2 linked regions of the Lepisosteus oculatus genome follow. The protein of the gene in region 2 purifies or fractionates together with the protein of the main gene of each other region. This does not show direct contact. Links are inferred from orthologs where the notes say so. Each region holds a gene or a part of one and is shown on either strand. Other genes may lie near its edges.

Region 1 (8,167 bases), on a different chromosome or scaffold from region 2:
TGTTCACAAACAGAATGATTCATTTGCTTATCTCACCCTTTGGATTAAAATGAGGGAAGATTCGTCATCCACAGAACTGAAAGTCATGTGTGACAACATCAGGCTTGCAACAATATTCACATATACACGTAGCACCAGTGAAAGTCACCAGCCAGCATAAACTAAAATTCTCTGAGGTGCAGACAAAGTCAAACCAATATACCAGAGCCATCAGTGAAACATTGACTACATGATACAAGTGCAAACTAAGGAGACAGGCACTTACAAATGAAAATGTTAGGCACATATTACACAAAGGGTTGTGGGAATCTGGAAACCAGAGACCATGTTGTTGAACCCAATAGCTCAAAAAATGGCTAGATAAAATACCCGAGTTAGCTACTAGCAAACAAACTAGCTAGATGGGCCAAATGGCATCCTTAGATTTGTAATGTTGCTTATGCTCATATCATATAAATCCACCCCTTTACGCACTGCAATTCATCAGTCAAAATACACATCCTCCTTCACTCTCTGGCTGCCACAACTCCTACACAAAACAGACAAACTCTAACTGTTCTGTATTCATAAGGAAGATGGTTTAAAGAGACACCAAAAGGGATTACAGTGCAGAAAAAGGAAAAATATCATCCTAGATCTACAGCAAATTCCTTCTCATCTTGTGGCTTGAGGTTATGAAAGTATTAACAAAGTGGACTGTTATCCTGTAACAAAATAATTATTGAATTAAACTCCCCAATATGTTCAAATACTCGAAGATACAAAGAAATAAGAGATTGGTTATATTCACATACACATCCTGGTCTGACCACGTGTAACATCGGATATGACCGCTTTAACTGACAACTGACGAACAGGATGCAGGAACCTAACAAGACTCATAATTTAAGGCACTGTTTTATTCTGGCTTTCTAAAAAGGGGAACACAAGGAACTTAAAACATTGTGTGTTGCATGATAAATTACTGTAATAAGTTCAGAAGTTAAAAAAATTCAGCCATGACTGAATTTTTTTAGTCCCCAGCTGCCCAGCTGCCCAAGACAACACACCTGTCTTGTGAAGTGTTAAAATATTCGAACCAGTTTCAGCCTCTTTTGCATTAAACAACACAAAGCCAATAGCAGTTTCTAATAGCACTAGTAATAGTTTAGAAATAGTAATAGAGTCTTTTCCACCCACCCCTTATTGAAGAGGACTGTATGGTGCATCTAAATGTCATCCGTGCAGGGACACAACAAACTAGATTCATGAATATTCTATTTTTATCTCTGACCCGAGATTCTCTTAGTCAAATAAGGAAAAGGGGGAGGATGGGATCCATTAATGAAAAACCGAATGAGTCTTCATTTTGATTTTTTTTTTCTCGCACAGCTTGCCAGGAAGAATCAAAAGTTTCCTGTTAGAAAGCAAGTGATTTCAAAGTAACAAAACGTCCAGATAATCAAACTGCTTTTCACTGTTCACTGTAAAACGTTTTAAAAAAATGCAAGAACCTGGTCGATTTTGCCACTATATACAGTACATTCCTGCATTAATTGAACAAATGCCCTTCAAGTGACTCACTAGACTCAAATTACTTTATCATTGTTTAATTTCCTAGTATTCATCGTGTTACAATTGTGAGGGTTCTTGTACTGACGCTCTAAACACGAAAAAAATGCTTAAGAAAAGTGGTTCGAAACATGTAGACCACTTTTTCTTAACATTTTAAAATACATGAAAGACAATTCAATCTCCAAAAAGAAAAGAAAAACAACCCATACATCAGAAGTGCAATAAAACAGTGTGTAAATGTTTCTAAAAATTGAAAATCATTATTCAAATTATTTCTTAAAGTCATGAAATTCATTAAATTCCTTATATAAAGCAGAGAAACCAGTGCAATGAAGTTTCATTCCTTTGCCTACTGCTGCAAGACACTTGCTTTAAATTCGCAACAACCTGCCAAGCGAGTCGTGAAAAGGAAATTTTCAAATATGTATTTCTTTACTGCTGCAACCACAATAAATGATTCAGAACATAAACCCCAATATATCAAGTAATCCTGTTTCTTATAACACTAGATTAAAAAAATCCTATGTATTCGTGCTTGTTTACATCCTCGCTTTCAATGTAACCGACAAGTTTCAATTTTAAAGCTTTAATTACATTACTTACTGATAAAATTCCAGCACCAAACTATGTTTATGTATATATACATAGAATATGTTCCTTGGTAAAATAATTTATATACATATTGTATATGTATAATGAAGTATTCATAATTCTTAAATTTACTTACTTTTCGTGGAAGGACACCAAAAATATTTTGGATTTGGTTTAATCCCGACTCTGGAAAATCTCCATTATCAACAAATGTTCTCGGTCAAAATAAGTAATTAGACGTGAGACTCAATGTTTATTTCCAGAAAACGTGCTTCAGTCTTGTACCTGTTGCTTGCTAGAAGCAGCACTGTAGTATTACACCAACAACATGGCTGACAACACGGAGCCTGATTACTATTCAACCCCAGGATGGGAGGGGAAATCTCATTTTTGCAACCTTGCACATACTGCCCTCTCACTGTTCAGGTACGCATCACACCCAGCCTGTCTTAATAGCAAAAAAGCTATGCATTGTCAGCATACCTGCAGGACTACGCCTTAAAAGCTATCCGTGCAAAAAATAAAATTGGTTGAAACAACAGATACTCCTTTTTAGTTTTAAAATTATATTTATTCACATCTCAGATTTTTGATGATAAAATAAATTCATTCAAATGTGGCTGCATGATATACTGTAATGTACTGAAATTACTAAATCTGACTTTGCAAGGCATTGGAACTCAAGTTGGTGGAGATTATACACACACTAAAATGTACTGCTTTATGATAATATCTAGTAGAATAAGACAAAAAAGAGTGAATACAGTGCCTGGCAGTACAAAGGACGACAAAATTGAACCAAGTTAAAGAAGGTAAAAAGTATTTGCCTAAGCGCTTTGTTCTTGAATAAGCAACAACAGTAAAGCAGGCTGTATGATTTACTTTATGATGTACAAAAGGCTTTTGATAAAAGTTTCCCATAAAAATAAATTCTCAAATTAAAAGTTAGTTGCATTTGGGGAAACTTCAGTTTTGGGATTAAGAACTGGTTAATGGACTGAGAGTAGAGAGTATAGAAAGGGGAAGATTGTTCAAACTGTGGTGATGTAATTAATGGAGTGCCAATGTAATAGACTTTAGATCATTTACAAATGTACAAATTAGTGTGTACATCATACAATTTCAACCTAATATTTTTTTATCCACTATATATACAGTACTAGCATGGGGTGGGCTCTCCTGGTCCTGGAGACCTGGTGCGTCCGCAGGTTTTTTAAGGTCTCTTTAAAGCAGCAGCACCTGAAGAGCAGGGTTATGGTAATAAATCAATCTACTTGAACAACTAAACAGCTGGTTTACCATGTTAAAGGCTGGAATGAAAACAGAAAGAGACACCATTGTTCTTGGAACAGAATAGCTGTGCTACAATGAGCTGCCATTGCTCTGCTGTGAAGTGGGGTGACAGGTCAGAGCCTATGACTCCTGATATACAGAAGGCATACTGTGAACCCTTGAGCATTAACTGTACTATTTGTTGAGTCTTAAGGCATCCTTCTACAGCCCATTTTATTCGGGATATTGGATTAAAATGTCTATTGAAATCACCATAGGAAGAGAAGACAGCAAGGTCCAGCTTCTCTGAACTTTAATTATTCAGTGCTTTAAGCCTGTTTCTGATGCATATGTAAAATTCACTTTCCTTGAGCCAGGACAGGGACAAGGCATGTACAGGAAAAGTGGATGTCATGGGGATCTTGGTGATAACATTATGCCTGTTGAATAGGGACCAATGTCCCCACTTCATGAGGTTAGAAGTACAGCACCTAAGTGCCAAACCTAAAACCTTTGTCCTGGTTGCCCAAGAAAGACCAAGATGTCTGGGTCTGTTTTATTCCAAAGAAATTCAAGGACTCCAAGTCCTCATCATAATAGAATGAATATCACCCTTCTGCTACTCAGTTAGCACACTTGTCTGTCTCTGCCTTAGAGTCATTGAACGCTTGAAATCTACAATCAAGACGTTACAGAGGAGAACCTGCTACATGGACAACTCAGAGGTTTTCTTTTTGGCACTGACTCATAGGTTGACAGCTCTGTATCTCTTAACTTCTCTTAAATAAGTAGGAGGGAGAGAGAAAGTAAGTTGCCTCTCACAGCCTGAGGGAATATTTAAGGACTGTGATTTCTGGGCCCAACTGTGGCTATGCAATTCTATTTGGCTTTAACAAGCAAGAACTGGCTGCACCGTTGTCCTTTAATTATAGTTTGCTTTAGTTTTCAAAAAGGCTCTTCTATGAAAAGTTCTAATTCTTTAACATTTTTATTGAAGGTTTTCAAAATGCCAAGTTTACTTTAATTTCCACAGAGTTCTTGAAGGAAGAAATAGAGCGACGCATTGTTTATGGACTACATTACCCATGATGCAGCCGGAGAGCAGGGAACCGGAAAGTACAAACGTAAATGTTGTTGAAGCAAATCGGAAGAAGTGTTGTAAGTGTACTTTTTTCCCCCCATAAATGAAGATGGAGTAATTGGTTTATGCTAACTTGCTTAGCATTTAAAAATGTAAATGTGTTTCATTGTGCTTTAGTCTTTCATTTACTTCACTACCGAGATACACGTGGGATGCTGTAAGGCTTAGTACTTTTTTTAAAAAAAAAATACATAAGATAATCATTTGCGATCCGCACTGTTGAGATATTATTGCAGTTCCCACCTGAATATGTTCGGTAAGAAACCAAAGAGAAACTTCAGGAGGAGGAAAGGAGATTCGAGCGGAGAAGATGAGCCTTCACAAGAAGAGCAGGGAGAAGCCACTGACGAGGTGAAGGTCTCGGTTGCTCCCCGGTTACTGAAGTATCCGCAGAGCCGGGGGATTTCCTGCACGTCTAAGCGGGAGTCCGGGAGCTCCAGGCCGGATTCAGTCGCCGGACAAAATCCGCACACAGAAAATGTAAGCGAAGATACGGCTGCGGAAGACGCTGCTGAGAAGAAACTGACGAAAAATAAAATCACTCTATTGAGTTTCGGTGATGAAAAACAAGGTACGCCCCAGTATTTATATTTCTGCGTGAATCTGATGTGGTACATGCACGGAGACAGCCTGCAGTAGATTCTGCAGATGCAAATGACATGCATGGGATCTCTTCACAGAATTGATATTTTAGCGAGCTGTCGCTGTGTCGCGAGCATAACCCAGGTGAAGCAGAAACGAAGAATATCTGTTTAAGCCAAGACACAGTAGGGAGGGTCATCGCTGATCATGCCTAGAGCTCAGACCTGTGCTGGAGTCATTATTGAACCATGCAGCCAAAAAAGGGACTCAAATATAACGTATGTTCCATTCTGATCTATAATTGCATTATAGAAAATGTCATCAAAAGCCTGCTATTGACATTGTTTTGTTGTTTTTCGTTTCTGTTCTTTGCATTCAATTAATGTGCACGTTTTTTTTTTTTCCTAACCTGCTGGTGTATTTTCATTTCAGTGGACGAAGATGACTTCAAGGTTAAAAAGCCTGTTGCCAAGGCCGTCGTTTTCAAAGCGCGAACAAAAGAGATCAATCCTCCCGCTTTTAATTCACAAGGTAAATTGCCAACTGCGTTCTTATGGTTTCATAACAACGGATGTGTATGTTAGCTGTTCGACGTAACAGGGCTCGGTGGCACTGTGTATTTTCCTGAAATGATGTCATCGTTTCTTGAAACGTTCATCATTGTAGAAATCTGGGGTGATAGAAAACCTGGTCTTTGGATTCGAGCAAAGTTTGCTACTTTTTATGGGGTGGTACAGTTCAACTGTGGTAAAAAAGAAATAATTTGTTACATTTTATATAGCGCTTTTCCAGACACTTTACAGGTAATGATAACTCATCTCCACCACCGGCAATGTGCAGATTCACACTTCACATACCTTAACTGAGTTTGTGTGAAAGTGGTCTGAGGTTTGTTTTCTTGGTTAACATCCTTATTTTTAGGGGGAATTGGTTCGCTTGTGACTACACTGCAATAATAATGTGTAGTAATTTGTTCATTGTGTTAGATGCAAAATTATTTTTTTTTCCGTAGTCTTGAATGGAGAAGTCTAGAAGCCAACATGATTTGAGTAGTCTGGCCTTGGTTAATCCTGGAAATGGGAGACCTCCAAGAAAAACCTGTTTGCTGTTCAAAGAGGTGTTGCTGGACCAGAGTTAGTGCATTCTAACTGGAAATGAGTTTCATTGCGTTTTGTTTGGCATTCTGTTACAAACTACTCAGCCATGTTGTTGAAGCGGGTTTCTTCAACATGGCTTCTTTCAAGAAATGGCTGGATGAGATCCTCAGGTCACTTAGCTACTAGTCACCCAGTGGGCTATGTAGGCCAAACTGCCTCTTTTTCTGTTAATAACCTTTTTATGTTCAGTGGCCTTATTTTATGTCTTTGATTTTGAAATTCATCTGGCTCATCTTTTTTAAATAGACTCTGCACTGTTTGCAGCTTTTGCAACCCTTTGTCTTTCAACCCCTGAGAAACAAATAGTAAATATACCATAAATATAGTAGATATTTGTATGTGTAAAATAGTTTTGGCGTGGTCTTAATGAATTTTTCTGTTATTCTGTTGCAGTTTGATTTATTTCCCAATTGACATTTGGTTTTCATGCTGTTCTCCATATAAACTGCACTTTACCGAGTGCAAAAACAATCACTACTCAAAACAGGCCATAAGATGAGCTCAGCTGAATGCCATTTAAACAAACTCTGAATTGGACTGAATACTCTTGGAGCATTCAAAACTAAACAAACCTCACTCAGTTAGGGGGAAAAAAACATCTCAAGAGAAGCAAAGCTCTTCACTGAAAATTAAGTTTCACATTTTATTATTAACATTAGCGAAAGGCAAGATGGGGAAATAGGTGAAATTATGTTACAGTCATACTACTGAGCATGTTATACTGAGGCAAAATGAAATCACTATTGATTAATTGCTCTGTAGTTGATTGGTAAAGAACTGGCATCAAGAATGAGCAAAACAGAGAATTATATGGTCCCCTGCGCAAGTAATGTTTTTATTTCTAAGTAACTGACTTAACATTAGTTCTGTAAATGTTTTTTTTGGAATGGAATGGGGGTTAAGATTGCTTCTTCAAAATTAAAAGATGTGAGTTTGACAGTTCCTGCTTGTGTTTTATAGGCCCCAAGGGTCCTGTTTCACAGAGTGACTGTGGGGACGATAAACCCGAAGGTGAAAAAATTCAGGATGGAAGCAACGATGATACAAGCTCCCAAAAATCTAGTTCTTCCAGCTCTTCAGTGTCTGATCCAGGTTTGTTGGAGGTTTCTCAGAAATTTTGAGCATTTTTTCCTCATTCTTATAATCTTTTAGAAAGTAAGTGATGAATTGGTCTTCAGTATTGCTCTATCGTTGTCATCTAAAATTTCCATTCCGGAAAAGTGTTTTCGACAAGTGTCCAGGATAATATTCCATGGAGGTTTAGAGGCGTGTATTTCAATGCTTCGTCTTTCTGAAGCTAGTTTGTAAAAAAAAAAAGTTTACAGACCAGACTGAACTTAACTCGCCTACCTGCACTGTGGCTAGACAAATACTGAGGCATAAAACCAAAAACCAAAAAAGTGTTGGTTTCTTGAACTCCTTTCTCAGACATCCATATGTGAGATTGCAGTGGGGGCTTTTGACACCTTGTATGTATATAGCAAGTAAGATGAATCTCCTAAATCAACGGCTTATGAAGAACTTAATAGGTGTAATGTGTTCTAAAGTTTCTGTAATTTGCATGTAGTCTTTTAGCTGCTGGCTTTTGGGTGTAGTTTATTTTTACACACGGTGTAAAACTTTGATCAGCGCAGGTGATATCCCTGATGCTCTACAAATTGAGGCTGCAAGAAGGCAACGTAAGCTGGCTAGAGCACGGCAGGACTATATTCCTCTGGCCACGAGACACGGGAGCAGTCCAGTGTTAAAAGATGAAGAGGAGGAAGACAGCGATGATGAACCCGATGACCACCAGCGGAGAATTCCATTTGCACCTAAACCGAAGACCCTGAGACAGAGAATAGCTGAAAAGATGAGTGAGTGAGGCTGT
Region 2 (8,417 bases):
AATCATCCATACCCAGTGCTGGATGGAACGGCATTTTAATTACCTGTGACGCCAAGACTGAGTTTAAATGAATTAGACTGCAAATTGAACATGAAAAGAAAGTGATTACGGTAGCTTTTTGCAAATCAGATTAGAAAGGTAGCTCTTCAAACGGTGATGACCGGCTCTTGTTTATAGAGGCTGTTCACAAGTCATTTTCGGTTAAACAGCCGTGAGACCATAACAAACAGAAATTAAAATCAATGATTGAGGGGCTCAGAGCCACCAACATTTGTCCAATATGCATGATTCTGAAAGCTTTGACTAATAAAGCTAGTTGTTTATGCAAAAATATCTGATTAAATGGTAAAAGCAGAGCAAAGCATAAAGACATATGGTGAAATACAGCACAGACTACAAGAAAATTGCAATTGTAATCAGAAATTTATTGAAAATAGTAATTCGAGTTTGCCATATAACCACATGCACCAAATATGACAAAATGACCTAAACTCGTCGACCTATAAAATACGTTCATCTTGATGTTTGGGCATATACAGGATGAACTCAAAATGGAAAAGCAGGAAATATTATTAACTTACTCCAAAAAAGTGAAACACACAACAGAGGACGCAAGACGAAACTCTGTGGAAATGCATTTAAAACTCGGAACAGGATGCACTTCTTTATGCAAAGCATTGTGGGAGTACGGAACAAGCTACCCATCCACAACAGTGAAGACAATATTCTGGCTTCTTTCAAGGAAAAAAGCTGGAAGATATCCGTGCAGCAATTAGCTACTAACTAGCAAATGGTCTAGTTGGGCCAAATGGCCTGCGCTCATACAAATGTTCACATAAGGCATTTTGTTAAAACTACAACCTTAAGACATGACAACTATCAAGTTCAAAATTTGTGGGTCAATTTGAAAATCAATGTATAGGAACAATGTGCTTTTAGTAATGCAAATGACAGAAACTGCAAGAATCCCAATAAATCTTAAAGGAAACCTGAAAATGCTCTTTGTTGCTTAATGTACCCTCTGGGTTTTAATACAGTCTGCGTCAAAGAAATAACAAAACTCATCCCTTTCTTCCCCAAAGAGAAGGTTTCTCTAATGTGCTTTCTTGAAAAACTTATCGACTGTAAATTTGGTACATTAACTGCTTTATGTCCCACAAATTAAATTTGTGACTTAGAATGATTTCCATAATTGCCTCAGCCTTTTCTTTTACCAGATGTACGTCATTTGCAGACATAATCTGGAACTCTGTCTTCCCTGTGCAGCTAGCCAATTTCAATTTATAAATTGGGTCTTTGCAGAGTGTAAGAATATGGAAGTTAATCTGTGTGTTGCCAATAAGGAAAAATGATTTTAGGATCTACAGTAGGTTGCTGTAAATTATATGACTGTCATAAGGTAGCTAAAAATGCAGCAAAAAAAAAAAGACATCAGTAGCTCATAAATGCTGCAGGCATAATGTTTAAAACCAGTGCTGTTCTCCTTAAAAAATGTCTTGAAGACTTTATCAGACAAACACGCTGTTGTCAGCCTGGGTTCATTCAGGTTTGCTGCACCACATGTGCTGTGAAACATTATCAGCTTGGATTTAATTAACTTCTGTATCAATTGGAGCATATCCATACAGCACAGGCATACTCTCCAGGAAACAACAAAAGCGCCTCTCGCAGATGCTTATACATTTAAAACCTCACTCTGCCACACAAACTGTCTCAATTCAAATACAACTGAAGGACAACATTTTTTCACTCTAATTTTTACTAAAAGGTTAAGGACAACACTCAGCAGTCTGTGGAGGTGTGGTGCTCACCTTATATATATTGCAAGTCTATTAATAAACTACAGTAAACAGAATGACATTAAAACTTAATGGTTTCATAAGTGCAAGTCTATACAGCTAAATATGACAAAAGAGACAGCTGAGCAGTAGTAGGGGAGGGCAGTAATGGAAATATTATCATTAAATTAGAGTGTACACTGAATGACTGCTTTCGACCTTGGTTTATCTGTATTGTCTGTAGCTCAAAGAAAGGCGCCTATGGTACTTAAATAAAACCTTGTCACAAAAAAAGCCCATTAAAAAGTTGATTCAAGAATATTACCGCACCTGGAAATGAATATGACTTAATTTAATTTCAACCGGCATTTTTCAGGGTACTTTTTCTAGAAAATGTCTTAAACCTTTACATTACTTGCTGTTGACCATAAATAGCAGTGAACACCAGTCTCTGCCTGGGTTCATACAGTAACGTCCCACGTGTTTCCTGTCCCCAAAGAACAGCTTTAGACTTCATTTTCGATTTTCTTTTCAAAAATTCAAACTTACCATCTGTAACATCCTTCAGTTGCTTCCAAGGTAAAATTTATTTTGGTGCTTCTGGCTAAAGGCAACAAGACCTTTGGGATATTCAATTTAGAGGCACTCGAACAAAATATCGGATCATAAAATAAAACCATTAACACAATCAATGAAAGTACCGTTGCACTCGCCATTTCCTTTTTTTTTCTAAAGTGCTTTTTTGCTTTAAATAAAAGCACAACGTTAACGGACCACGCGGCGCGATATGATCTTTATACATAAAAAGAAGTTTAAAAGCTAAACTATAAAAAAAACCACAAATCAAAGTACCCAATTCCAAAATCTAGTTCGAGGCCATTGCCCTATACTTTATGTTAAATTCATGGTGCTGTCCTGTGCAAAATACTGCACATGTTCCACGATTACAGAAAAGGTGAGCTAAGCGCACAAAGTTCTTTCAAGCGCGTAATCCCTTTTTAAAGATACAAGTCCAGTTCAATAGGCTACAAACTTTCAATATAGAGAAACAGCATGGAGAGCTACTGCATGACTCAGTTGGTGTCCGTTTCAGGTGTTTCAATGTGCATGCACCCACACACAGGAAATGCAGCGAGATTTATCTTCCTATCTTCTAAAGAAATGTCCACCCGACGCTACTGCATACACAAAAAGGTATTTTAAATAACTGCATTATTAATTTTTAAACATATAACATAAGAAACACCCGCCATTCGCAGCTATTCGAGCAACGTCATGAACGACGGCAGACGGCGGTCGTTTTACACGCAAGAGGGAGGAGGAAAGGTCGTGTTACAAGAAACTGCGCCTTAAAGGCGCAGGAGGCTTTGGATCCTTGCGCACTAATGACATTATTTTCGCATTTCTGTTCTGTTCAGTGTACTGTTTCCATTCCAATACGGGACTGAAGTGAACCCGTCGAATTCGCGACATCCGCCTTTGAATTCAATTTGGAAGACGAGAGCCCCGTGAAGTTCACCAAGCAATTTGCCGCTATCTGGTTTCCACCGGAGCTACCCAATTAAATCCAGTTCTCCTTGTCCTTAGATGTTAGTTTGTGCTCTCCGTTTTTTGCCCACCCCACAATCTGTCACATTGTCTTTAAAGACCCTGCAGGTCTCCCATACTGTTACCCTGTACAGATAATTAGGCTTAAGACTGTATGTTGGAATGTGCGTAATTCTCCGCTAAAATCCATTACTGGACAAGCCCGGTTAAAATTAGATATAAATGTAGATATTGAACCTTCGGGGATTGTTTTCAGATTAACCCATGGAGTTGCGTCTTGTGTAAAATTATTCTAAGGTTGCAAGTTTCCTTCAGAAAGAAATAGCCTGCCCTTTGAAAAACGTCGAATACACGGCCTGTAGGAAGCATTTCGCTCTATTTATTCGTTTGTTTAGATATTTTCAATCTAGATCTAAAACGTGCACGTTTTACCTGGTACATACTACAGATACTGACTGTTAGATACTGATCTTGAAGAAACAGCCAGTGAAAAGGATTTTTTTATGCCTTGTCGTTGTCCTCTCTACACAATCAGTGGAACCCGCCATCCTGGGTTCTCATTTCTCCCCCCTCTGGTAAGCGTTATAGGGGCATAAAGGCACGAATCTCCAGATTACTGAACTCTACCCCTACAGTACCATTGGCTCACACTGTTTTTTTTTAAGTGGTATGGGCATTTCACTTGTTGGTGCTGCTGCTGTTCTGTGTTTGTGTTTTTTGGTGTTTCCTTTATGTCTTTCTATCATTGCACTTGTGCATCTGACAAAAACTGAACTGAACGAATTATTAAGGACCACTGCTAAATATAAGTCCAAAGATGTAACGATTAAATTATGGACATTAAATTAAGTAATTTAGAATATTGTGTACAATTGTGATCGGTACGTTACAAAACTGATATTGCTGGTGTGGAAAGAGCTCTGAAAAGCACAACTACATTAATTGGTGGTATTAAAGGCGTATTATAGTCAGGTTGAAAAACCATAATTTTCCAGTTCTTACTCTTGAGCAAAAGAGGTTGTATTGAAAACACCCCTGACAATATATATTTTTTCAATTAACATCTCCAACATCATTAGTGAAAAAATAATAATTTTAACTTCAAATTAAGAGTAAGGACTTTGCCCGTGGATAGGAATCTCTACATTGCACATAGGGTAGTGGGTGTCTGGAATAAATTATTGGTGAAGATGATACTTTTGGGATCATTCGGGAAAAGGCTGGATGAAGAGCTATTTAAATGTTTTTATATTCTGTGTGGGAACATTCAGGTATTAATAATATAAGTATTTACAAGAGGCATCATGAACAACCAAATATGTAATCGCTTGCTCTTTATCTCGCTTATAAATTATTGTATTGCATAAGAAACTTCACTTACTGTTTTATTCGGAATCATCATAAATGATCTCTTTGCACAAATTACGCGACTCGGTACTCAGGCGTTATATAATTCAAGAACTATATGATCGTGACAAAAAAAGACATTCTGCCTTTGAAGTAATGGAACACAAAAACACTACAGTGGCATGAGCTTTATTACTGCATTACCTGAAATATAACTCTTTACAAACCCCAGGTTGTGTTACTAATTTTTAGTAATTTAAAAATCATATAACACCCGCTGATGTAAACCAATGTCAATTGCACATGACACAGCAACGGAACACAGGACACCTCCTGGAAATATATCTGCGTAGAAAAAAAAAACAAAACGGCTGCAATGCTCTGTGCTGAGCAGGGATACGCGTTGTACAAATCAATCGGCTGCAGGTAAGAGTATGTGCGGTTTTTGCGTAAAAGCCAACAAATTCAACCGGGCAGCACTTAACACTTGGAAGTGTTCCTTGTTTCTTCCGCTCCCTGTGGAGGATCACAGGTGACGTAGGAGCGTTCTGCGTACTAGCTCATCACAACACTGATGAATTTGTGAAAGGGAGTTGGTTGGGCATCATTCCTCGGTTAAGTGATACACGCTAATTTAAACGATGTACATAGGCCACGCACGTTAATCCTGTTTCGGGGGGCTAACATAGCGTGTGGCAACACTAAGTCGACTTGCTATACTCAGCACCAATAATGAAAAAAATGTGGACAGGTGAGTTGAACTGTGTTTCGTATTCGCACACGAAGCAGGTGAGAAGGCCGAATATGCAATAAGGTATGGCATTTGCTTGTGGTGTAGAGCTTTTAACGGAAAATTGTAATAATTAATAAATATACAGAACACCACGATAACATTGAATAAATCGAATAATATATTTGCAGAAGCCCCTTTTCTTATTTAGATTGATACGCATGCGTGTGAATTGCAAAGCCCTCCGGGTATTGTAGTCCATTTGATTTTTTCCCCACTAGAGATTTGAGTGGATTCAGTGCCTCAGTAAACTGTTTAATAGATCGCCATGTTCTTATATTTAGTAAAGGGATGGCATATTTACAAAAGCAAATATGAGTAAGGGTGCTTGTTAAGAGTAGAAAGAATAGGGCAAATGCCTTTGCTTTTATAATGACACCTAAACTAGATTACCATCTTTTTCTATTTTTTGCACACAATCACAACCGCTCAGATTTATTTTCAGCCACAGAGTGAAAATACTAGGAATAATAAACTTCTTGACAAATTTAACCAGTATCAGCCAAAAATTCTTTAAAACCCCAACACCTGTGAAAACCTAAGACTGCAGATTGTTTACATTGTACATTTCATTTTACTACCTTGTGGTGTTGATTGCTTTTGAAATAAAGTTCTGCAGTTTACCATTAATGCTATTCTTGTCATTTAATTCCTCACTCTTTCACATAACCAAATGTTTTCTGCACAACTGCTATCGTATCAGAAAGCATTTTGAATGGAATAGTTGGTCACGTTCCTCTTGAACAGATTCATAGAATGAAGTATATGAGCATAGTCTTGATGTTGGCTTGTCTTCTTAAAAACTCTAGGCAGATTAAATTTTAATATCATGAATCTATTATGGAAATTGATTTTTTTCTCCTCAAGGTCAGAGAAATAGGGCAGATGTAGAGTATGGAGCGTGTCTGAGGAACAGATGACAGTGAGCTTTTTCTTATGAAGCACTGTAATACTTCTCACAACAATGAACAAACATTTTGTATTCAAAGAAGGGGTAGAGGAGACTTTGAGGCTTTCAGTATAATTCTGTAAATACAAAGATTTGAATTCTGTATGAATCTGTTAGCTGTGAAATACACTAACAGGTTTTTAATTATTTTATTAGCTGATGCAATGTCACTTTTTTTATTTTGCGATGTTAATTTTTGTGGTACTGAGTTTCTCGTCATAGTCTGACAGTTGTCAAAATTAAAAGCTCGCTCTTAGGTATTTATTTGTATGCGAAGTTAAGCTGAGTAATGTGGTGTGTCACACTTTTGAAAAGACAGCATGTGCACATCAAATGTATGTATGTCTCTATGGAACCAGCCGCTGTAGATATTGAATATTTTAAAAGAGAAGTATGTTGTAAATAGGACATTCAACGTCAAGGCTGATATTTGCAATTGCATGTTTTTAAGATCGGTCCTTCAAAAATGCACAAAAACATAACATTCCGGAATTTGCTGCATAAACATTATGAAGTAAACTGGGTTTATGAGGCCTAATCTCTTGAGTTGTCTTACTGCTTGCTGTTACTTGTGTAAAATTACACATAAAATGTTCAGTAATACGTTCCGATCAGTGATTGTCATTTTGAATGACAACTTTTGGCTTTTTAAAGTAATGTGATGGTATGTTTAAAATATATGAATATTTGCAAATCATTCATTTCTGTATTTTATTGGTATGGGTTAAAATCACCAAGTGTAAAAAACCTCTGTTAATGGAGTGGGATTCAGAGGGGTATTTTACAGTCTTGTAAAAATGGTTTGGATTTGACAGTGTGACTTCAGAACCCCTCAACTTTTGTGCCGTTTCCTAAATTAGCATAAGTTATAGATCTGATCATTTTCAAGGGTTTGAAGAGATGAATCAATACACAAGCTGTGAGTGGGGAAAAAGCCTGGGAGCTCCATCGTGAATTTAGACAAGAAACAGCCACGTAGTCGGCATTGCTCTGATTGATTGCCTGCACTGAAGTGTGTTGTTTATTCACTGCCATTTGGATTTTAGAATTGGAACCTCTTCCTTTATTAATGTGATGTTTTCATCTCCAATATGTTTATTGATTGGCAGGGATGGTTTTGGAGAAAGTTTTTATAGTGCATGCAGAATAGATTGCTTTTGAATTTTTTAATTGTTCCAGAAACTCTTAATATATATATATATTAACCTCTAGTGAATTTGAATTTTGGAGGTTTTATGTTAAGAATTAAAATCTAACCAGATGTAGTTTAAAGAAATGGAAACAAACTGGTTTTATTACAAGCTTGTGCACCGCAGGAATTTAGGTAGGAATCCTTGTTACGACTTGATTATCCTTGATCATTAAGTACAAGTATTGTTTAAAAGTATGCAAAACATGTTCTCGCATTTGATCACAAAGAGCAATGTACTACAGGAAAGAACATGGTATGATATGGTACCACTAGCTAAAATCATAGCCAAGGACATTTCATGTGTTATTAAGAGTATTGTGCATTCTACTATATTGAGTACATTTTTTGGTAAACACCCGTTTGTTTTTCAGGTTAAAATGAAAATGTGAATGAAAAATGTCTCAAAAAGGAAGCAGGCAAGAAAAAACAAGGTATACACTATATTACCTTAAAAATAGTATAAAGAATGTGGTCACACTTGAAATCTTTTTTATAACTATTTATAAAATGCTATTAAGGTGTTTATTAATAATGTTATAAACGTTTCCTGCAAATGATGACATGTCGAAATTCCTAGGGTAGGATTTCCAGGGATTGAATATGAGACCCCTGGCCAAGGTTTAGGACTGGAGATGTGGTTTGTTATCTTGATTTTACCATAAGGAATCCTTTGCATTTTGTATGCTTTTCAGCTCGCACAGCACCGAGCTTTACACCGAAGTCCCTTCAACGTGCCTGCCTATTGTGTACTCTCCAGACTACAACATTACCTTTATGGGATTTGAGAAGCTTCACCCTTTTGATGCTGGGAAA

Evidence for each region.
Region 1: the proteins of hdac11 (region 2) and gcfc2 purify together in Homo sapiens (co-immunoprecipitation; 3 studies listed by BioGRID and IntAct, counting the BioPlex papers as one, with this or other methods). This does not show direct contact. The link is inferred for Lepisosteus oculatus from reciprocal best matches to the Homo sapiens genes HDAC11 and GCFC2.

Annotation. Positions count from the first base shown.
Region 1 is NC_090697.1:20,601,926-20,610,092, forward strand, and holds the start of gcfc2 (intron Large complex component GCFC2), read left to right. Parts: upstream 1-4,503; 5' UTR 4,504-4,807; coding exon 4,808-5,129; intron 5,130-5,572; coding exon 5,573-5,671; intron 5,672-7,257; coding exon 7,258-7,389; intron 7,390-7,931; coding exon 7,932-8,153; intron 8,154-8,167.
Region 2 is NC_090699.1:62,733,601-62,742,017, forward strand, and holds the start of hdac11 (histone deacetylase 11), read left to right. Parts: upstream 1-4,939; 5' UTR 4,940-5,099; intron 5,100-5,237; exon of another isoform or gene 5,238-5,424; intron 5,425-7,972; exon of another isoform or gene 7,973-7,975; 5' UTR 7,976-8,000; coding exon 8,001-8,035; intron 8,036-8,296; coding exon 8,297-8,417. Other genes in the region: nup210 (nuclear pore membrane glycoprotein 210), read right to left, coding at 2,328-2,494. UniProt on the Homo sapiens protein: Responsible for the deacetylation of lysine residues on the N-terminal part of the core histones (H2A, H2B, H3 and H4).